Drosophila melanogaster: one gene and its partners. The protein of the gene in region 4 interacts with the protein of the main gene of each other region in a pairwise test. Each region holds a gene or a part of one and is shown on either strand. Other genes may lie near its edges. The genes, in order: MagR, GABA-B-R2, Tat and CG8907.

Evidence for each region.
Region 1: the proteins of CG8907 (region 4) and MagR interact in a two-hybrid assay, tested with the Drosophila melanogaster proteins (one large-scale study listed by BioGRID).
Region 2: the proteins of CG8907 (region 4) and GABA-B-R2 interact in a two-hybrid assay, tested with the Drosophila melanogaster proteins (one large-scale study listed by BioGRID).
Region 3: the proteins of CG8907 (region 4) and Tat interact in a two-hybrid assay, tested with the Drosophila melanogaster proteins (one large-scale study listed by BioGRID).

Annotation. Positions count from the first base shown.
Region 1 is NC_004354.4:15,732,332-15,736,297, reverse strand, and holds MagR (magnetic receptor), read right to left. Parts: upstream 2,029-3,966; 5' UTR 1,930-2,028; coding exon 1,846-1,929; intron 1,746-1,845; coding exon 1,692-1,745; intron 1,200-1,691; coding exon 1,124-1,199; intron 1,055-1,123; coding exon 977-1,054; intron 910-976; coding exon 806-909; 3' UTR 518-805; downstream 1-517. Other genes in the region: Arp6 (Actin-related protein 6), read left to right, coding at 1-461; CG12379 (uncharacterized protein), read left to right, coding at 2,375-2,587, 2,745-3,056; CG8191 (uncharacterized protein), read right to left, coding at 3,070-3,966. UniProt on the Drosophila melanogaster protein: Involved in the assembly of mitochondrial iron-sulfur proteins. Probably involved in the binding of an intermediate of Fe/S cluster assembly. Required for maintenance of circadian rhythms under constant darkness.
Region 2 is NT_033777.3:21,769,833-21,777,403, reverse strand, and holds GABA-B-R2 (metabotropic GABA-B receptor subtype 2), read left to right. Parts: upstream 1-1,563; 5' UTR 1,564-1,663; intron 1,664-2,056; 5' UTR 2,057-2,070; coding exon 2,071-2,319; intron 2,320-2,495; coding exon 2,496-2,977; intron 2,978-3,038; coding exon 3,039-3,219; intron 3,220-3,274; coding exon 3,275-3,493; intron 3,494-3,548; coding exon 3,549-3,844; intron 3,845-3,904; coding exon 3,905-4,268; intron 4,269-4,330; coding exon 4,331-4,441; intron 4,442-4,507; coding exon 4,508-4,744; intron 4,745-5,156; coding exon 5,157-5,502; intron 5,503-5,564; coding exon of another isoform or gene 5,565-5,567; coding exon 5,568-5,670; intron 5,671-5,727; coding exon 5,728-6,194; intron 6,195-6,255; coding exon 6,256-6,875; 3' UTR 6,876-7,071; downstream 7,072-7,571. Other genes in the region: Polr1H (RNA polymerase I subunit H), read left to right, coding at 1-26, 91-115; CG6800 (uncharacterized protein), read right to left, coding at 191-362, 415-565, 628-1,012, 1,066-1,266; Burs (bursicon), read right to left, coding at 7,210-7,476, 7,535-7,571.
Region 3 is NC_004354.4:14,259,689-14,265,887, reverse strand, and holds Tat (tyrosine aminotransferase), read right to left. Parts: upstream 4,666-6,199; 5' UTR 4,529-4,665; coding exon of another isoform or gene 4,481-4,528; 5' UTR 4,304-4,480; coding exon 3,955-4,303; intron 2,439-3,954; coding exon 1,924-2,438; intron 1,858-1,923; coding exon 1,564-1,857; intron 1,498-1,563; coding exon 1,150-1,497; 3' UTR 509-1,149; downstream 1-508. Other genes in the region: CG13404 (uncharacterized protein), read left to right, coding at 1-99, 187-320.
Region 4 is NT_033777.3:17,007,249-17,013,062, forward strand, and holds CG8907 (uncharacterized protein), read left to right. Parts: upstream 1-1,581; 5' UTR 1,582-1,621; coding exon 1,622-1,680; intron 1,681-2,161; coding exon 2,162-2,555; intron 2,556-2,612; coding exon 2,613-2,657; intron 2,658-2,718; coding exon 2,719-3,609; intron 3,610-4,211; coding exon 4,212-4,584; intron 4,585-4,659; coding exon 4,660-5,000; intron 5,001-5,068; coding exon 5,069-5,164; 3' UTR 5,165-5,285; downstream 5,286-5,814.

The DNA of each region.
Region 1 (3,966 bases), on a different chromosome or scaffold from region 4:
TTCCAGACTTCACCACCGTCAAACGGGGCTATGTTCGTGTTCCCGGAAAGCCGCGCGAGGATGAGGAGCAACAGCAAATGGTGTCGCTGTGCAATGAACGTTTCACCGTGCCCGAGCTGCTCTTCAATCCCTCGGACATTGGTGTGCAACAGGTGGGCATTCCGGAAGCGGTGGCCGATTGTCTGAAGGCTTGCCCCTGGGAAGCGCACCGCGAACTCCTGCTCAACATCCTTATTGTGGGCGGCAGTGCCCAGTTTCCGGGATTTCTGCCGCGCCTAAAGCGCGATTTACGTGCCCTGGTGCCCGACGATCTTGAAGTGTCACTCATCTGTCCCGAGGATCCGGTGCGGTACGCGTGGTACGGCGGCAAGGAGGTTGCGACCAGCCCCAACTTTGAAGAGTTTGTTTACACGCAAGACGACTACGAGGAGTACGGTTTCCAGGGTATCAATCAGCGGTAACATGCACGTAGTCGAAGTATTTTTTCAATAATAAACTTGATTTGCACATGGGTTTTCTAGAACATTCCTTGTCTATATATTGAACTAGGGCTAAAGAGGACAAACTGCCAGCCTGCGGCAAGGAAGCGGGTGCGTCACTTACCTAGCGCTACAACTAAAATTTAACTATAGAACACAACTTAATATTTAGAATTCGTTTGCGAAGTAAAATTTACAAAGGATGCGGTGCTTTTGCCAACAACGTAATGAGATACAAGGTCGGGCCGCGTACTGCATTTAACTTAGTTAATTTAGGTCTGTCTGCGAGGCGGGTGCCGGCGGATCTCCTCCGGATCTCCATCGGTTTACATGCTGAACGATTCGCCGCAGCCGCATGTGCCCTTAATGTTCGGATTGTTAAACACGAACTCGCTGGACAGCTTCGATTCCACAAAGTCCATCTCGGTACCTGCAAGCGAATTATACTCTGTATTAGCTGGCTTGTCCAATGCTATGCTAAGCTGGTATGAACTTACCCAGCAGCGACAACTGCGCTTTCTTGTCGATGAAGACCTTGACGCCATCCTGGACCACCTCCTCATCCAACTTGTCTGCTGGCAAAAATCGACACAGAACGCAGCATTAGATCTCCACCGAACAACATTCTGTCCAGAGTGGCTTACCTTTTTGGCTGGCATAGTCCAGCGTGTAGGACAGACCATTGCATCCTCGCTGCCGTACGCCCACCTTTAGGCCAACCTGTGGCAGAAACAACATCGAATTTCTGTCATTAACTGTGTGGCTAATTTATAGGCAGCCTTGTTTATTGACCAAAGACAAAGAACTCGGTATTCTAATAAGTCTGTCTCAATTCAAAGAATTTAATCACTTAAAAACTAAATGATTAACAACAAGATAAACATGCTCATCAAAATTTGGTCGGGTCAAAATTTGGAAAATCTAGCTGATTAACGCAGGCCGAATTAGTTAGCATGGCTTATATTTATAGCTAATAATTTGCGCTAAAATATATGACTGACTGAGGAAAAAGCCTATTGTCAAATATAATGCTTGAAGAAGCCCTCTTGCGAACTTCCTATACTCCATGCAACCAGTGCTAAAACTTAAATAACATGCACGGGAACCTTTAAAGAGCTAGGCGAGATTATCAAGATCTCAATCGTGGAAGGCGATAGAATGCCCACTAAAGTGTAGCCTTGGTTCGATGACAACTTGTCAGCAGTCACTCACCATGTCCGGCTTGTCCTGCAGAAGCGTCTTGATGCGTAGCACCGCCGCGGGTGTCTGAAAAGGATTGGGGGAGATCAGAATCATCAGATCGAAGGGGACTGTTACTTCATCAGCAGCAGCATGCGCCGATTTCACCAGGTTTTGGTTTCCTTACCAGAGTCAGAGCGGCCCGCGTCGGGATTAACTTCCGGCCTTTCACCGCCCGCACTGTCGCCGTTGCCACCACACGTGTCGCCATCGGTTCGTGCCCTTTATATAATTTGTTTGACTCGAGAATTTCCACAAAAAAAATTCGAAAATATGAGTGCTTACTACCAGATGGTCGATAGTACTGTCGATAGTATCACGTGAGATGGCATTAACAGATGTCATCGATTGGCAGTGTCACGGGATAGCGGAGAAACGGTTACTACCTGTTTGAAAAATAAGTTATTTTTAAGCCCCAGAGTCCAGGTGGACTTCATTAATAACTTAACTTAATATTTCACAGTAGAATTTATATTAACAATTGGTTTTAATGTCTGTGAGTTACAGCAAATTTTATCAGCACCAGTGACAGCTATAGTAACTTTTTAAAATCGTGACTCGCGACTAGTTTTGAAATGAAAGGAGGTGCCATCTCTAAGTTTAAATGAATTTCACACTTTTCGATTGAGTTAAATAATATCAACAAAATCGAGGATATGTCCGCCCTAAAAAAATTTTATAAAATCAGCGCAGGTGTGAGAAGAGGCGCACTACTTACCAGTTCCCGAAGAACACAAATTGATGCTTTAAATAGTCCACAATTGCAGTTGCAAGTGCATCACTTTGCAACCAAAACACAAACAGCTGTTTTTAGCAGCAGCAACAACTACACGTGCATTTGCCGCAGTATACACTGCAGTAAGCCAGTGGTATGTTTGGAAATCAGTTGTAAATACAAATAAACTACCCAATTGATATTAAATAATGTTATTTACATTTGTAATTTAAAATATTATAAATGGAATGCAATATTTAAAATTATGTATAACAAAAAAGTTAAGTATAATTATTTTGCTCTGCTCCCAGGACGATGCGGACAAGACGGTGGCCACGAATAGCATTCCTCTGGCGAAACTGGAGGCCAAGATGCAGCTGATCTACACCTGCAAGGTGTGCCAGACCCGGAACATGAAGACCATTTCGAAGCTGGCATACCAACGCGGCGTTGTTATCGTGACCTGCGAGGGCTGCTCCAATCACCACCTGATCGCCGACAATCTGAACTGGTTCACAGATCTGGACGGCAAGCGCAACATCGAGGAGATCCTGGCCGAGAAGGGCGAGAAGGTGGTTCGCCTGACCGATGGCAACTGCGAGTTTTTGCCGAAACATGATTAAACTCGTAGTGTAGTTAAGTGAAAACGAATGCCACTTTATTTAGCAGCTCCAGCAAATGTGTCCAGGAATTGGGGGGTAGTTGGGCACGCAGCTGCTGGGCGAACTGCCGGCGACATATGGATCCGGTGGCCAGCATCAGGTAGGTTATGTATGTGGCCTCGTTCACGGGCAGCTGCGAGACAGCCGTGACTGGTGCATCAGCGGTCAATTGCATCTCATCCAAGTCTAGGTAGGGCAGGTGGCGATTCCAATGGTCGATTAGGTAGGCAATAAGGCTGCCGGCCAGACGTACATGCTCCATACTGGCCCAGAATCTCATCTCATTGGCGGATTGCGATACGAACAGAAAGATATTGTGCAGGAAGCCGGTGCAAGCGGTAGATCCGCCCTCCGATAAAGTGTCACAGATCATGTGGCGCATTAGGTAGCAATCCTTGTGAATTTCGCTGTCCTTTGGCTCCCTAAAAAGCTGCAGCCACACCTGGTACTCAATCAGCTCCATGGAGCGCTTTATTGCGGTCTGCATGTCCTCAAGGCTGGATAAGCGGCCAATCCGCTTGACTAGCCGTCGCATCTGCTGAAGATCGGGATTGATAAAATCGCTGGAAGAAAGCGCATCCGATTGGCGTATTGCCGACCAGTCCAAATCACCGATCTCACTCCACGCAGGCTGAATCTCGGCCAACGTTCGATGCGAAAGATGAAGCAGTGGTGCATGAGTTTCTCCCTTTCGTGTGTTCACGATGGTGGTACACAGCTCACGAATACACTTCCGTCGATCCACCAATGCAGAGCAGCTAGCGAAGAAGCCACGGCAATCGCAGCGTTCGGCCAGCGATTGCCCGAAGCGATCATAGCACTCGAACAGGTACAGGTGAGCCTTTAGCAGGGATTCCACAACGGATTGGCT
Region 2 (7,571 bases), 4.8 Mb from region 4:
GTGTTCTTTACCTGCCTTAAGTGCAAGTAGGTGTCCTGATAAACATATTCCTTCACTTCCACAACTAATCACACACATTCTACCTTGCAGATTCAAAGAATCCGAAAACTCTTAGTTGCTAGCAATGTCCGTGTAAATAGTCCTAGATTAATGAAAATAATCATGCTCGACGGCCTGAGAAATATAGAATTTACCAATTATAATACCTAACCGGTGTCAAACTTGAAGCAGAACCCACCTCGCTGGCCTTGAGTCGGTTTTTGGGATTGTAGACCACCAGATTCGAGACCAGATTGATTTCCACCGCATGTGTGCAGCTGGGAAACAAGTTGTCCCAGTGAATGCCCACGGAGTTGGGAAACCTACGTCAAGAATATTACGGATTAAGTAATCATAGACGGTAAGAATGCCTACCGTATCTTGCTGTAATCCGGCAGAGAAGTCAGCTCTGGCCACTGATTCAGACGTGGGCTGCCCAGAGTGCGAATGATGATGGCTAATTGCTCGATGTCGGTGGTTCCCGCAAACAGGGGCACTCCGCGTAGCATCTCCGCCACAACACAACCTGGATAGCAATAATGTCAGCCATAAGGATATATGTAAACCCATCAAAGAGTCATGGCTAACCTGCCGCCCACATATCCACTCCGGTTCCATACTTCTGGCTGCCAAATAGAATCTCTGGCGCTCGATACCACCGGGTTGAGACCTGAGGCGAATAAAGGCGCGACTCGTCTTCAGGGAAGTACAGACGGGCCAGTCCGAAATCGGCAATCTTAAGCATATCTGTATCGCTGATAAGCAGATTGGCGGGTTTAATATCCCGGTGCATGAGACCCGCTTCATGCAGATATGCAATCCCCTTGAACATTTGGTGTGCAAACTTACGCACCTGCTGGCGGCTCAGGGGATTAACCTCGCTCTTGAGGCGGTTGTACAGAGTGTCCGGCTGGTATTCCAGCACCAAGGAGAGACCAGTTAGGTCAGGATATATATCAATGATGTCCAGAATCTACAATTAGTTACATAATTAACAAATGGAAAATAGATATATGGTATACCTACATATTCAGACTTGCAAAGCTGCAGGGTCTTGATTTCCCTCAAAGTATTTAGGGCTATGTTTCCGAACTTGTTCTTAAGGGCCACCTTCTTGATGGCCACCTCCTTGTTGCGCTGCAGATCGATGGCCTTAAACACGCAGCCATGGACGCCTTCGCCGATTTTCTCAAGCATTTTATAGCGGCTGGGCGCATAGTCCTCCATTATGGTTACTCACAATTTTCAATTTGGTAATTTTCCGAGCAGTTATCTACTTCGTTTTTCGACCCCAGTAGTCCATGGCAACGGGCACAACAATTGCCGGAGTACCAGCTGATGGGACCACCTGTTGCAGGATGTTTACAAGCGCAGTGGGTTTATGGTAATTACGGGGGTTGGAAAGCCTAGGCCAAGGCGGAGCAGTGACAGCTTTCGGTTTAAGGACATGCGCACTTCCTGCCTCGAATTCCTCCTGTCAGACAAATGTCAAGTCAGGGGGATACATAATTTTTCGGACCCTCGCACTGCAAAAGTTCTTCGTTGGCTGAGATTTGATGTAAAATAAGTGTTTCAAATGGCATCGGTAGTGAAATAAAAGCCAGTTCTGGGACTAAGCAAGCTGGTAGGTTCCTAAAAACATGTACACATAAGATTTAAGAGGATGCAACACCTGGAAGATACTCCTTCGCGTTAACGAGCATACTAAATAATGCACGAATCCTTTAGATCATTAAATTGCTTTATAATTACTAAACGTGCCAGCATTGCTGCAGCAATTTGAAGCAATTTTGCTGGCCTGGACTGGCCTTAGCCTTGCTCCACCTGTCCTGTAAAATTGCATGCGAGTGCCAGCAAACACAGGTAGAACGTAGAAAATAATACACACCCACTGGGCGCAGCCTTGCCTCGGCAGCCTTGGCTCACCCGAAACCAACCACTGCCATTCACCACCCACAACTTGGCTCCAAGTTCACGTCCTCGATATGCGCTATTCACATTTAGAATCGTTTTACAGCCCACGCGGTCAACATGTTCCGGCCAAGTTGGTTTCCATTCGCCAGCCTGCTGTTCCTGCTCCTTTGGAGCACCGCCTGTGGCAGGACAGCCAAGAGATCGGACGTCTACATAGCGGGATTCTTCCCGTACGGGGATGGCGTGGAAAACTCCTACACCGGTCGGGGCGTTATGCCCAGTGTAAAGCTCGCCTTGGGTCACGTTAATGAGCATGGAAAGATACTGGCCAACTACAGGCTGCACATGTGGTGGAACGACACTCAGGTGAGTTAGGGTTTAGCTTGAAGATTTCATTAAGTGAATCTCTGATGATGGACTTGTGGTTTTTAAAGTTCAATTAGGTATTTTTTTTAATGTTCATTGGTTCATATTGTAATATCACACCTTTACCTATGCATATTTCCATATATTCTGGAATGTAATTTTGGTTTCCTTTCCAGTGCAATGCTGCTGTGGGCGTAAAGTCCTTCTTCGATATGATGCATTCGGGTCCCAATAAAGTGATGCTCTTCGGCGCTGCGTGCACCCATGTGACCGATCCCATAGCCAAGGCCAGCAAGCACTGGCACCTCACCCAGCTCAGCTACGCGGACACCCATCCCATGTTCACCAAGGATGCGTTTCCGAATTTCTTTCGCGTGGTACCCTCGGAGAATGCCTTTAATGCGCCGCGACTGGCCTTGCTGAAGGAGTTCAATTGGACCAGAGTGGGCACTGTCTACCAGAATGAGCCACGCTATTCGCTGCCCCACAATCACATGGTGGCTGACCTGGATGCCATGGAGGTCGAGGTGGTGGAAACGCAGAGCTTCGTCAACGATGTGGCTGAATCATTGAAGAAACTGCGCGAGAAGGACGTGAGGATCATTCTGGGCAACTTTAACGAGCACTTTGCACGCAAGGCATTCTGTGAGGCTTATAAGTGAGTTGGATATACTAACTTAAGTCTCAATTTAAAATTATTGCAATAAACTCCCTTCCAGATTGGATATGTATGGCAGAGCCTATCAATGGCTGATCATGGCTACCTATTCCACGGATTGGTGGAATGTCACGCAGGACAGCGAGTGCAGTGTGGAGGAGATCGCTACAGCCTTGGAAGGTGCCATTCTAGTGGATCTTTTGCCCTTGTCCACCAGTGGTGACATCACAGTGGCTGGCATTGTTAGTACCAGTAAAGTCTATTAAAATTCTTGTAATAAATTTCATATTTTACTAGACTGCTGATGAGTATCTTGTGGAGTACGACAGACTGCGAGGCACTGAATATTCCCGCTTTCATGGCTATACCTACGATGGTATCTGGGCAGCTGCCCTGGCCATTCAGTATGTGGCCGAAAAGCGAGAGGATCTGCTAACACATTTTGATTATCGCGTGAAGGACTGGGAGAGTGTCTTCCTTGAGGCTCTACGTAATACATCCTTCGAGGGTGTGACGGTAGATAGATAAACAATCCAGTTTTTGCAGTTAAAACATATTTTACATTCTCAAGGGACCCGTGCGTTTCTACAACAACGAGCGCAAGGCCAACATCCTGATCAATCAGTTTCAGCTGGGACAAATGGAAAAGATCGGGGAATACCACTCACAGAAGTCACACTTGGATTTAAGCTTGGGAAAACCAGTCAAATGGGTGGGGAAAACTCCTCCCAAGGATCGCACTTTGATCTACATCGAGCACAGTCAGGTCAATCCAACCATATATATTGTATCGGCTAGTGCTTCGGTCATTGGAGTGATTATTGCCACAGTTTTTCTGGCCTTTAACATTAAGTATCGCAATCAAAGGTGAGCTTAACAATGCTATATTAAACAATTTCGTTTAATAAAATATTGATGTTTTTATAGATACATCAAGATGTCCAGTCCCCATTTGAACAATCTGATCATTGTGGGCTGTATGATGACCTATTTGAGCATCATTTTCCTGGGTCTCGATACCACATTAAGTAGTGTGGCAGCTTTTCCCTATATCTGCACAGCTCGAGCCTGGATCTTGATGGCTGGATTCAGTCTCAGTTTTGGAGCCATGTTCTCGAAGACGTGGCGGGTGCATTCGATATTCACCGATCTGAAGCTCAATAAGAAGGTGATCAAGGACTATCAATTGTTTATGGTTGTGGGCGTGCTTTTGGCCATTGATATAGCCATTATAACCACCTGGCAGATTGCCGATCCCTTTTACCGCGAAACTAAACAGTTGGAACCCTTGGTGAGTGCATTGATAGAACATATTTGAAGTGAAAAATCTAAAATGATTATTATTAACTACAGCATCACGAGAATATTGATGATGTCTTGGTGATCCCCGAAAACGAGTACTGCCAGTCTGAGCACATGACCATATTCGTTAGCATTATTTATGCCTACAAGGGACTGTTGTTGGTGAGTATATAATAAACATTAATTTGTAAGATATCATTATAATAAAGCAATAATTTTTTTCAATAGGTTTTTGGCGCCTTTTTGGCCTGGGAAACTCGACATGTTTCTATACCGGCTCTGAACGATTCCAAGCATATTGGTTTCTCCGTTTATAACGTGTTCATCACTTGTCTGGCCGGAGCGGCTATATCCCTGGTGCTATCGGATCGAAAGGATTTAGTTTTTGTCTTACTCTCGTTTTTTATCATTTTTTGTACGACAGCCACTTTGTGTTTGGTGTTCGTACCGAAAGTAAGACTGGTAGTAAGGAAGTTTTGTAGTTTTTGTAGCTGTTATATGTTACATATAATAATCGTGTAATATGAATGTTGTTTGTCGGCGGTAATAGGCCGATCAGTTGTGGTTAGAGCTTCTTAACTGATCGTACTTTACCGCCAGCTGAGCTGATCTTTCGTCTAGCGTTGATACACCTTGATACAGAAACAACATGTACTCGAAAACAGATCTTAAAATGCTATATAACACTACAGACTAACTATAAACTTGAACTATATAGAACCCACTAAGAGCAGCAGCAAGGTTGTAGGCAAATCCCACTTCCTTGCTGTTGGAATATCTTTAACTATCCTATATTACTGTCCGTAGAGTTGATCCTTCCTAGATGTTGACCGCGTAGTATAATCTTTGGTTAATATTCATGCGAATCGTTTTGCAGTTGGTGGAGCTGAAGCGGAATCCCCAGGGCGTGGTGGACAAACGCGTTAGGGCCACGTTGAGACCCATGTCCAAAAACGGACGCCGGGATTCCTCGGTGTGCGAACTGGAGCAACGATTGCGAGATGTAAAGAACACAAACTGCCGATTCCGAAAGGCGCTGATGGAGAAGGAGAACGAGCTGCAGGCCTTAATCCGCAAGCTGGGACCCGAGGCACGCAAATGGATCGATGGGGTGACCTGCACAGGTGGCTCCAACGTCGGTAGCGAACTGGAGCCCATACTGAACGATGACATTGTTAGGCTCTCAGCTCCACCGGTGCGTCGAGAGATGCCCAGCACCACAGGTGAGTGGCTAAGGAGGGGGATTTCGTAGATATGTTCATGCATTGCAACCCGTTTGTCATAGAAGTTACCGAGATGACGTCCGTGGATAGTGTGACCTCGACTCATGTGGAGATGGATAACTCCTTTGTGTCGGTGCAGTCTACAGTGATGGCGCCATCGCTTCCTCCGTAAGTTCTTAAATTTTGGTCTTAAATACACTCTAATCTATGGATATTCTCCAACAGCAAAAAGAAAAAGCAATCGATTGTAGAGCACCACTCGCATGCCCCTGCTCCAACTATGATGCAGCCCATCCAGCAGCAACTGCAGCAGCACTTACAGCAACATCAGCAGATGCAGCAGCAGCACCTGCAGCAGCAGCAACACCAGCAGATGCAACAGCAACAGCAGCAGCAGCAGCATCATCATCGCCATCTGGAGAAGAGAAACTCGGTGTCCGCTCAGACCGATGATAATATAGGCAGCATCACCAGTACGGCGGGCAAGCGGAGCGGAGGAGACTGCTCCAGCATGCGGGAGAGGCGTCAATCGACCGCCTCCAGGCACTACGACAGTGGCAGCCAGACGCCCACCGCCCGGCCAAAGTACAGCAGCTCGCACCGGAACTCCTCCACCAACATCTCCACATCGCAATCGGAGTTGAGCAACATGTGTCCACACTCAAAGCCCAGTACTCCGGCTGTGATTAAGAGTAAGTTTTCTGCGCGTCTCTTATAATACTATAATACTATCGATTTTCTAATCGAAAATAGCTCCCACTGCCTCCGACCATCGCCGCACCAGCATGGGCTCCGCTCTGAAGTCCAATTTCGTGGTTTCACAGAGTGACCTCTGGGACACGCACACGCTGTCGCACGCCAAGCAGCGCCAGTCGCCGCGGAACTACGCCAGTCCGCAGCGCTGTGCGGAACATCATGGCGGCCACGGGATGACCTATGACCCGAACACCACCTCGCCCATCCAGCGGTCCGTCTCCGAGAAGAACCGCAACAAACATCGGCCAAAACCGCAAAAGGGCACCGTTTGCCAGAGCGAGACGGACAGCGAACGGGAACGAGATCCGCCGCCCAACAGTCAGCCGTGCGTCCAGCCGCGTAAGGTCAGCCGGAGCTCTAACATCCAGCACGCCGCCCACCACCACAGTTCGCCCAATGTGGCGCCCGATAAGCAGCGGAGCAGGCAGCGCGGCAAGCAGGATAGCAGCATCTACGGCGCCAGCAGCGAGACGGAACTGCTCGAGGGCGAGACGGCAATTTTGCCCATCTTCCGGAAACTCCTCACCGAGAAGAGTCCCAACTATCGGGGCCGCAGTGCCGTGGGCCAGAGCTGTCCGAATATATCCATCAAATGCGATATCGTCGAGTACTTGTAGGCGGCGCGAGTCATATGCATTATGCCGTAGTTAAACTCCTATTGTTAGATCCAGTTGCAGTGTAAAGATTATCTTTGTTTTCTTTGGAGTTACGCATCTACATACATACCCTGTGAAGCAGGACACACACCATTTAGTGAACTAGTAGCAATGACATGAGATAGTTGGGAAATAAATTACAATTTAAAATAATCATATATCTGCTGATGTTTCCCTTTCACTGGCATGAGCTTTCAGAGGCACATTTTTCACTGTGTACAAGCAGAAACGGCAACTCTAATTTATTTTAATGAGCAAATGGGCATGGGTATGAGTGCTAAACTGATGGGGGAATCTATTGCAGAGCAATGCGCCGGAAGTGATTGTTGAGTGGACCCTCGTCCGAATAGCCGGCAATTTCCTGTGGTATGATGCCAGACTCCTCAATGGAAGTGCATGGCCGACACATGCACTCCAATGGCGCCTTGGTCAGGACCTTCTTGAATTTACGCTCGCCGGGCTTCACTTTGGGACAGAATAGCGAGACGGCTGCCTCCCGCTCACCAGACTCCTGGCAGCACATGCAGGAACGCTCCATTTGCCAGATCTTACTGCCCGAAACCTAAAGTCATCAGATTATATCAAATTATAATTTATATTTCAAGTATATCAACACCCACCTGGATATAACTGGCACAGCGACCCACGCAGGCGAAC
Region 3 (6,199 bases), on a different chromosome or scaffold from region 4:
TCAGGAGGGTATCCGCGCTGGCTCCGCTCCTGCCGCTCACCTTCGTCGTGGGTTACTATACGGACTGGGCGTACGGCAGCAAGATGCATCGCATTCAAGGTGGGTCTGGGATAGGATTGTTTGATTAAGTGCCATTAGAAGGATGATATCTTATACAAACCTATCCGATGATTACATCAATTGTAGCGGAGGCGAACATGATTATGGAACACGAGCAGGAGCTGCTCCACTGGCCAGGTGGTCTGCCCACTGTTGCCGGAATCGATGAGGCCCGCGTGGAGACCGAAATGGAGAAGAAAATGCATCCGCACCACATGTAGAGGCAAAAGGATGCCCCTCTCCCGGTTAGCCTGTAGGTGGGATTGGGTTCTCGTGCTCAGGTCCTCGTTCAAAAACACACACACACTCCACAATCAACAGGATTTGTCCCAGAGTTTCAGAAATTTGTAAGACCCCTTAGCTAGAATTTAATATATATTTTTTTTTTTTTGGCATTAACAGTGCTGTTGAATGCTGAAATGTGGGGACCATTCAATTACACTTCACAACACTCAACAGCATTCTAATTACGTTTCACAGCCCATTAAGCAACATTTTAAAATTTCTTACAACGAATATACATACAAATATCATTCATTACACACATCTAAATCCAATTTATGCGAAAATGTTCAGCATTTTTAAATTGAAATCACACGTTAGATAAAGGCTGCCAGAAAATTTATTTGAAACTAATAGAAATAATTGTAACTAGCAAGAAGGCATCATCATATCATATCCTGTTCCAAAGGAGCACTACTTTCACCAAGTTTAACATTTTTTGCACAGAACCCCAGCCAGCCTACAGCGCCAGATAGCTCAAATATAGGCCTATATATATATATATAAATTTATATTATATATATTTATATTCAGAAGTCCTCCATAATGACCATTTACTTAGCCGCAGTTTACTCGCTCTTTCTAAACTCTATCTATCTGTGTGTGACGCGCTTTACTTTTCCAGCAATTTTTTGAGACAATACTCCTTATATTGGATAGTTAAAATGATTGATATATATATATATATAGTATATATACATACATACACTTATGTACACTTGATAAAAATTGTAGTCTAGAATATCTAATAAATGTTTTGCTCCCAGCTCAAAAGGCCACATCATCGCAGTCGAGCAGTCCGTGCTCAATGAAATTGCGCGACTCCTTTTTGTAGTGGCGATCGCAGAACTCGGCAATCCTGGAGCACGCCTCCTCGATCATTGCCCCGGGCACAGTAAGTACGATCCGCACGTATCCCGGGTACTCAAAGCAGCTGCCCGGCAGACAGAAGACACTCTGCTCATTCACCATCTCCTGGACAAAGTGGGTGTCGTCCTTGAATTCCGGGAAGCGTTCGATGCTCACGCCTATCATCATGTACATGGCTCCATTGGGCATTACGGGATCGAGGCCACGCACCTGTTTCAGCATCTTGTAGGCCAGCATGGCATTCGACTGTGGGATAAAAATAATCATATAATAATTATCCATTAAGCTGATAATTACAAATGATAAACTTACGTGGAGCACATCAATCACGCCGTCAAAATAAGACTGCGGTGTCTTGGTCAGGATATCGGGCAGGGCACCCTGAATGATGGTATTGGAGCCCAGAATGCGACCACACATGTTCTTTAGACCGACAATGGCATCGCGCAAACGATTCTTGCGATCGTGCACTATGATCCAACCCATTCGCCAACCGGGAACCAGGAAGCGTTTGGTCAACCCGCCACAGGAGAGAACTGGAACCTCCGTGGTCAGGCTGCTCACGGCCAAGTGCTTGGAGCCGGGGAACACAAAGTGCTCATAGATCTGCAACGAAAGCAAAGGCAATTCAATTCAATTATTTCATGTGTGCTCGATTTAAGGGTCACTCACCTCATCGGCAATGATGGGCAGATAGTGGCGTTCGCAGATGGCTATCAACTCGCGCAGATGCTTCTCATCGAAGACGCTGCCACAGGGATTGCTCGGATTGTTGATCAAAAGGGCGGCGGTGTTCTCATCGATCAGGCTCTCTAGCTGAACGAGATCGGCGCGCCACTGCTGATCGGGCAGAAGATCGTAGTAGCGCACCTCGATATCCAAGCCCTGGGCCAGCGTATAGTACAAACAGAAACCCGGTCGCGGCACCAGAACATTCTGACCACGATCCGCCAGCGCCAGGATGCAGTACTCCAAGGCGGAGGAGCAGCCGCTGCACAGCACCACCTCGTTGGCATCGATCTCTCCGTCGGGACGCTGGTGGGCACTGTATTTGGCCACCGCTTTGCGGGCTATCTCGTGACCCTGGGTGCTGGCATACCCATTGTACTTGCCGCTCTCCAGGGAATGCAGCACCGCCTTCATTGTCTCATCGGCGGCTTTTAGATTGCCAAAGGTTGTGGGATCACCTGGTTGAGAAAAGCAAGTTTCAAAATGCATTTAAAATATATAATCTATAATATAAAATAACCTTTAAGCTAATAAAATAATACAGAAAATATTCCATCAGTGAATTGCCTAATTTATGGAATAAAGTGCATTTATTTTTGGAAACGGAATGCAAAATGGTGTTAAAAAAATAAAAATCAGGCGACTTCGCATCCGAATCTCTGATTGCATTGGGTCAATGGCTAACTCGTTCGTTTCCGGCTAACTTCGATTCCCGATTCCGATGGCTAAGCAAGCAGCAGCAGTATAATCTGGCTCAGATCCCGAGTTCGATTCCATTCCATTCGATTCGATTCGATTCGAATGGATTCTCGACTTTGTCAAACAGGTGGAACTACATTTTATGCAAATGCCCCACAAAACACAAATACAGTGCGCGTGCCTCGCTACAAAAATAATACGATATTACTAAAAACAAAACAAAAAAAAAACAATTAAATTATATACAAGAACAAGAACAACAACAATCGAAACAACAACAGCTTTACAGATTTTATATATCTGGTATCTGGCATATTTTAGCACAAATTTAGAAACTCGCGACAATCGGCAAAATTAGCTTCTCTGTAAATTTCCTAAGCCAGAAAGCCAGTAAGCCCGAATTCCCATTGAGCTCTAACATTTCAGGGAAGTCCAATGTCCCAACTTATATAACGACTTATAAGCATTATAGCCGAAGCACCGATCTCTGATTGGCCCGATTTTGTGGGTGTGTATGACCAATGGATCGCTTTAGTTCACAATGAAACCGAATTCATTGGGTTCATAAAGCTAGTTTTATCAAGTTTGGGACAACTCAGCTGCCAAAAATAAAAAAAAAACTAAGATATAAATATATATATATATATATTTATAAAACGGCAAGAGCAAAAGAGATCGCACATCAGAAATATTCAAATTTGGCCCAAAAACTTGTAGCAAAAACGTCAGAGGTGTTATGGGGATATGGTGAAATGAGGAGCAGGTTTCCCACGAAACTGGATAGTTAGCACTACCTGCTCAAATATTTTTCTATAATTTGCAAATTTTGGATATTTCAAATCATTGCTTTTAGCCACTATTAAAGGCGTACTTTTCAGATTAATGCATATATAGTAAATAGAAGGCGAAATCCTGATAATGTAAATATACATTATACATACATGCTAAATGCATAGCATACTTCTGAGAATTCTGAAGAGGAAAAGCTTTTAAGATAGATTTTTCAAACACATATGTAAGTTCTGCGTCAAAGGAAATTCAAGAATCAGTAATTTGCAGACAAACTAATAATAATTTATAAGGTTTATATAAAAAGCCCTATAAGTTTTAAGAACTTGAAAGTTTAAGATGTCAACTTTAAATATCTAAAATGAATCTATACAAGAAATATACTAAGTACCATATTTTAAAAGAAAACTGATTATATACGTACAGTTTTTAGAACTTTTACTCTTTAGATATATATTAGTTAATTTATATATTTATGGTGCTCACCAATGGACAGCGGTATCATGGGCTTCTCCGGATTCGGTTTGATCTTTAGCGACTCGACAATGTTCCGAATGCGATTGTGCGTGTTAAGGGATAGCTTGGAGCCCTTTATCTCCCATCCGGAACGCTTTCGGCTGCTGCTGCTCGTGGCTGTGGTGTCCACCAGGTCCTGTTGCTTGCGTATGTCCTGCGATTGGAGCTGCAGCTCGGCCAGCGCCTGATCGACTACATCGCAATTGGGCGTCACCGGCGCCGGGGATTCCGGCTCGCTGGGACTCCGGCTTGTGCAGCTGGCACGATTGCGGCTGCTCTGGTATCGGAACTGACTCTCGTTGGCAAAACTGCTGGGCATTATCACCAGGCCGGCCCTTTTCCCGATTCAACGAAAGAAAATCGAATAGCCAAACCAAACCAAACCAAATCGAATCAAAATAAACAAAAACAAAAAAAAAGCACAAACAAATATTGCTAATATTTTTGATTACGACGATGTCTCCGGTCCCGATTTCTGGCAAATGGAGCACTCTGCTCAAATGAATGAAAAATTTGTATCCTGTTTATCGTTCCAGACGAGCATTAGAGCTGTGATCTTTGGTCAATCACTGTGTTGGACAGACGATTCTTGTTTTCGTTGGATTCCCTTTGGATACACGGTATATGGTTGATATGGGCTAGTACTTTCAAGTCGTTTGCGAATTCTGTGCTAAACTGATCTACTTCGGCGATATCTTGGGGCTTTTATCGCCTCCGGCCGACTTCGTTTAGTCGATTGCTATATAGGCTCTCCATATAGACATCCATATACATATATACGCATATCTGGGTATATATAGCCCATACACTAACATCGCCGGTTATCACGCGCCTGACTTTGGCTTCGGTTCGAGCCGAGAGGGCCGATCGAAAGACTGAAATAACAACAACATAGGGGGCGTCGACTGATTTGAATACCCGCCGGTTCGAAATCATATTCATACTCGGAACCAGATTTTAGTTCGATACGATTCGTTTTGATTTGATTTGATATAAACAACAACAGGCGCCGCCGCCGCCGCATCGCATCGATATTCATTTAAATGCGCCAAAGTTGTCTATAATATAATATATAATCTTGGGCCAATTTGAAACACCAACCGAGCATCCAATCAACCAACCAACCAAAACCATTACCATTAATGCATATCGTGTGGTCGGTCGATCCACCGATCCAACCGACCACCACCTTTCCACCCACTAAACCACGTGCCAATCAACCCATAATATAGTTGGCTAGAGACACAATGTATCTGTAAGATTTTCCTGTTCTCCGATCTCAGCGGTCATCGATCCGAATCACTAATAAACTGGCTAAACTCGAGTATTGCTTTCGGAAAAATGTTGCTATTTGCTACCTATTATTGTATCAACTTCCCACAAAAATTATCAATAGAATACCAGAAAGTTACCACAACAATCCTGCACACATATTATAGATTCAATAATTTCATGCATTTTGTGATAATAAATAAATAAGTTATTTTCATTTGTTTCTGCAATATTTCTACTTTAAAACAAAAGAGAACGACTATCACATACCCGTTACTCAGCTAAATGATATTTAAATTTAAAAATATAAGTTACTTGTAAACAAATTGCAAATCTGGTTGATGGCAAACAAATCTATTTTTCCGCACAAGATAATTGCTACGTTTATAGAAATATTTACATGCCAAGTTGATATAATTTAAATATGAGTTTGTGCTCTTTTTGTAGTCTATTTAAGTTGATTTACTTTGTGAGGATTTTAAAAATCCTTGTTAAATTTAATAACAACTCAGACTTAACGATTAAATCTTTTGAAAGGTGAAAGTACAGAGTTCAAAACTAAAGTAACTCGGACAAAAAATCTGTTCAAGATCGTAGAACAATAAATTTAAAAAAAAAAAAATAGTGGGAAAATAAAAAAAAAACTCACGGCGCATTTAACAATTAATTCGAAAGTGTCCGCTAAATGCACATCTGGACAAACGTGGAATGCACTGCGATACCAAGTCCATAGATGTAATCCCATCGATTTGAATAATTGCATATGCATAAGCGACTATAGGATATATCTGTATCTGAACCCGATCAACTAGATCGGCTAGATAAACTGGCCAAGCACACCTGTTGACGATGACAACGCAATTTCTCAGAATCACGGAGCGGAGATTCCGGTCATTTTGACTCTGATCCCCGGACAGGAATAGGTTGCAAAATTCCAAACTGC
Region 4 (5,814 bases):
GTTTTGTCTAAGGGAACATCGAATTACAGGTAGAATTACATGACATAGACATGAATTTACAGATCAATTGTGTCTGGTTGACACTTTTGATAACTCTCAATTCAGAAGCGGATCGTTAAAGTCACGCAATATTACTATACTCAAAGTTGTTGCAGAAAGTGTTGCGGACAGTGCGGTACGTGTATTTCCATTTTCAACAATTCCCATTTTCAACTGTAATGAGGGTCGCTTTTTTCTGTTATTACGTGAAGTAGTAGTCATTAAAAGGCAAGAATGTCACAATTTGCTCCAATAAAAGTTATTGGCCAATAAACGAATAAAATAGTTACCCCAGACCCTAAGCATGATTGTTTTAAAGCTCTTTATTTATGATGAAGGACTTTCTTAAGTTAGGAATGATTCATAGGCAACATACAAAATACATGATATGATAATACGAGTAGAATAAGATATAAAGTAAGTTGTATGTAGATTTAATTGATCGAAATTATGCGCGCACGTCATGACATAAGTAATTTTCATTTCCGTTTTTTGAAAAATAGTCATCAAGACGTTTTTAATGATTTCTGTAAAGATTAAAACAACCATAGAGATGCATTTTTGCGATATAAAACTTATACTTAAGTTTTATTCAAGAACACTTTCACTTTTTCGCCAATCAATAATAAGCTATTTAAGTAATGTGTTAATGGAACTTAAAGAAATTCCTAGTAATTACTATCTTTAATTGAAAGTAAGATTTGTTGTTGGTAACAGGGTCAACTGCTGACCATTTCATACGATCCCACAGTGGGCCGATATCAAAATCAAGGCCCAAGGGTAGCAGACTCTCTCATAAGGAATGGTATTCGTATTTGTATTTGTTGCTCTGCTTCCAGATAAGATTGAAAAAGTGCCTATGAGCACCAAGAGATAAGGCACACTTTTGCTTTTGCGATAACGCACCATCGCAATTTCAGGCAATCAATTAATGAGCCAGCTGATATCGCCGATTCCCATTCCCTTTGGGCCAGCCAACGTCAGTTAGTTGGAGTTGGAATTCGATTCACAGCGGGTCGAGAGTTGTAGATCGGGTCGAGAAAAAAGAGCAAATAAATAAATAAAGAGCACAGTGGGCAGCACACAAGGTAACCAATCCATCGGTTCTTCTAAGCCCGTAAATCAACATACCAACGATATGTCTCAGACATCTGTATCTTAGGATCTGATGTCATGCCAGTGAAAGCAATAAATAAATCTCGAAACACGGCGGTAAATAATTGACCCACAATCACGGCCTAAAAATACGCGATTAACTCTTATATTCGAGTCCTTATGTAATAAGCTGCCATTAACGATTGCTTCATGAGCGAAGAATTTCCTGGCTTGTGATAACTGCAAAACAGAAATAAAGTAACGCCAGCAAACTGAAAAAGCAAAGCAATCGCAAACACAGTGCCAATTGCGTTTATCTAATCGGACAGGTAGCTACCACACAGGTGAAATAGGTACTCTCCTATGTACATATGTACACCTATGTACTTCTAAATGCAAAGGTATCTAATGGTAGCCATCTATCTGATTCGCATTGCCCATTGGGAATCAATAGTTTACCAGAACGCTTTGATTACACACCGCCGCAATGGTCAAAGCAGGCAATAGGACCCTGAAATACTTCCGACCCATTTCGGTCAAGTATGGGTAAATATCAAATATCAAGCGTGATAGACAGGAGGCTATCTCATAGATTGAAGCATTGCCAACACCTGTCTATCATATACCCGTATACTTAAAGTGCCACTTTGGAAATTTTCGGTGTTTTACTGTTTATGTTAGCATAACATTCAAACAAAGAGATCTTTTCGTCCTTGATCTGCATTTATAGTGTAAAAGATGCAGAACAAGATAGAAAATTCTTTACTATTGAACTATTAAAGTTTAACCTATTTTCCTTGTATTAAAAAGTGTAAGAGCAACTATTACTCATCGTCAATTACCTCTATGTCATGCATTAGTTGCAATGTAGTGTTATCAACAAAACAAAAAGAAGGGCAAAGAATTGCGCAGTTCATATTCTACAATATGTGCGCCTGAATGCCAAACTTTACATGGAAACAACCAATAAGTGATAAAAAAAAAAAAAACTATAGTTATTTGGAATGCCCATTTCCCTATTTCTCAGGATGCCACAAAACGGCTACGAAAATGGAGTCCCTGGCGGGAATCAGGCAAATGGGCACTACGACGAGGTCAAGCCCACCTATGCCCTGGAGCACTTGGCCACCTTTAAGCTGAAGAACGAGGCTGAGGTCAAGCAGCCGAAGGAGAAGATGAAGCTTCTGGTCGAATTGGAAAAGACCGGGGGCATTTGGCCGCACAAGATGTTCATGAGCTTCAATGGGCAGTGGCTGGTGATGCTGGACAGTGATATGAAGGAGATTGAGAACTTTCCGGGGAGCCTGATCACGGAGCCCACGGCTTTTATAAGCGATCATCCGCAGGAGTCATTCAACAATATCCTCATTTTCTCAGTGCCCGGAATCTCACTGGGCAATACCGAAATGCACATCTTCCAGGTGAGCAGCCACGATTTTTCAGCACTTTGAGATCTGTAATAATTAGATCATTAATAGGTGGCCGATGTCAGTTCCGTGCTCTTGGTTGAGGATCTAAAGACGGTGAGTTGAGTTGAATAAATAGATCCCCGATCTATATAATCCCAATACCACGATTTCTCAGCTAAGCAAGGGAACCCCTGTGACAGTGGATCGCAACAAGACGCCCATCCTGCTGCCCAAGCCGGAGAGGCCGCAGAACCAGCAGGCCAAGGATCAGTATGGAATAGCAGCTGCTGTGGCCGGAATAGCAGCCGAGAAGAATGCCATAGACAAGGAGCAGACCGAGAGGGATGTCCAGGTGATAAACCACTGCTTCGAGGACATCGAGCGGTTCATGGCCCGTCTTCATTATGCCGCCGAGGCGCTTAACGAGCTAAAGTTGCGCAAGGAACAGCATAATCCCCACGGTGAGGGACTTTTGGTCCTGAGATCGCGACCACCAATCGAGAGCGAGTTCCATGACATTTTGGCCAAGGCGAAACTGGCCCTTATATACTCCGTTCGGCTGCAGAACCAATTCACCAAGCCCGCCGATCCGGTGCACAATGTCTTCATATCGCTTAAATCCATCGTCACGGTTTGCAACGATATCTACGTGGATGCGGGTCTGCCGCAGGCGGTACTTAATCCCCTCCTGCGCCGTGAGACCATTGCCTTCCTCAATGGCACCCTCGACTCCAACGAGATGCAGCTGTGGCAGAGCCTCGGTCCCAACTGGACGGTTCCCAAGGATCAGTTCAAGGATCACAAGAGCTCTTATCATCCGATCTTCTACGACGATTGGTCTCCCGATTGGGTGGTCGATGAGGAGGTGCCGTACCTGGCTCCTGCTCTAAAAAAGAGCACAACGCCTTCGCCAGTGCCGGTTCCCATGCCCCCGAGTCCAGGTCTAGGAAATCGCACCTGGCTGAGTAGATTGGAGAGCCGAAATGTCAAGATCGCCGAGGTTACCTTCAATAAGTCGGCCACCAACGATAAGGAACTAAAGGTTACAAAGGGAGAGTATTTGGAGGTAAGTACCTAATAATAATCGAAAGGGGTTTTAATGTCAGTTCTTATCATTCAGATCTTTTAGCCAAATTTATCCCAATTTCAAGTTCCTTTAATTAAGATTTGCACAACATTTAAAACGACTTGCTTTTTTAATCGTTCGCTGACGTATGAATGTATGTAAGAGGCAATTATTTTGGGTTACAATACAGTTTTGTAAATATATAGGAATGTCCACGTGTGAGAACTGAATGATTTGAAATCTTATAAGGCACAGGTCTTTTACTTTTATATTAATCTTTTGTTTTGGAATGTTACTGATATAAAAAAGCTTTAGATAAGTATTGGTTGTGAAGATATGAAAATTCATTGCCGGTAATATATATGATTCAATAATTTTAAATTCAGGCATTTGAGATGTCTTACCAATGAGAGGTCAGTAACACTATATCAATACAAAAACTTTGAATGCAATTACTAAACATTGATTATATTTTTAACTTTATACCATGTTTACTATACATGGTACCAATCTTATCGATTCCCCAATTACGCGATCTTACCTTCATATCACCATGATAACAGACCTTATAATAACTATCATATAAATCGTCTGATTCCAAGATTATCGATGACTCCCGCAACTGGTGGAAGGCCCGTAACTCGTACGGAAACATTGGCTACGTGCCGCACACAGTGCTCACGCCGTACAACTTTGAGCCCGGAGTAAATGGCCGGGACACGGAGTCGCTGGCCTCAATGGCTTTGACGGAGAACGGCGGCGAGGAGGCCATTCCTCCTCCGCTGTACCGCAACACAATGGCCATGTATACCGCTCCCGTGGAGCAGCCGGCGGCCAATGGCAAGGCCATGCAGCGCACCTTCTCGATGCCCAACGTGCCCGTTCCACCACCGATGCCTCCACCGAGCGATAGCCAAACGCCCACGCCCAGTGGCACACTCAAACGCAACATGGCGGCGGCAGGAGCACTAGCAGGTGGGTACACTAGTAAATTAAAAAAAATAATACAATATAATAATGATATTTGTATTTATCTCATTCGCTTACCAGCCATGCGGGCCCGCAATGATTGCGAGGCAGATGATCAGCTCTACTACATGCAGGGCGACGTGCATGATGAACTGCGTCTACTGCAGCAGCAGCGAGAGAGGCGCAAGGACCTCGAGATCCTTAAGACGCCGGAAATCTTCATCACCCAGAATTCAAAGCCAAGCGAGGTGGAGGAGTGGCTGCGGGGCAAGGGATTCTCGGACATCATTATCAAACGATTGCACACGCTATCCGGCGAGGAGATCTTCGCCCTATCACCGCACACCATCGAAAGTTACTTTGGCCGGCGGGAGAGTCGCCGCCTCATTTCCCAGATCGTGCTGCAAAAGAATTTCTGCGAGGTGAGTTCTTGGACATATCCTCACCTTATCTAATCTAATCGAATCCATTCCAATATCCAATTTTGCAGTACAAAACCATTCGATCATCGGAGCTTTCTGCCAAACTGGCACGTGCTCGCCAAAAGGCCGATCAGTCCAATGGCAATCCCAACGAGGTCTTCTAAGACTCCCAGTATCCCGAGTTTTTTAGCCGGAGACCAGAGAGACAAAAATGCTTCAGATGCCATTAATTTATTTATGTGTAATAATCCTTCATTTATGTTAAACAGTGTTCATACGTATATTAAAAAAAAAAAAAGACAAAAATGGGTTTGATTTATATGCATTTAGTGTTAACATCTCGAATTGATTATAAATGTAATATAGATACTTTATTTAAACACAAATATTTATGAAGTGAAGAAATCATATGATTTCCTGTTTAGAAACTTAACTTCCCTAAACTCAAAAGTGGTATGGCATGATTAATTAGGCAAGAATATGTTTATCATTACAGGAAACTTTGAGAACTGGTTATGGAACAGTCCTAATGAAACGCTTATTGGTTAACCCAGATACCTTATATGTCGAACTCCAGTTCGAATTGCAGACTTCAATCAAAAGACTTACGAAATAGCCGAAATGAATTGGTTTTTTCAATAAACACGATGTTCAATGTTATGAAGAAGTAATAGACGTCGATTAAGAGTAATAAGTGATAATCTTCATAAATTCTGCTTCGTGAGTGCATCCTAAAAGTCAAGTAAGTGGGCGTTTCAAACCGGTAGGGGCGTGGCGTGTTATTTACCTTTTTTGTGAACACATTGCGGGGGAA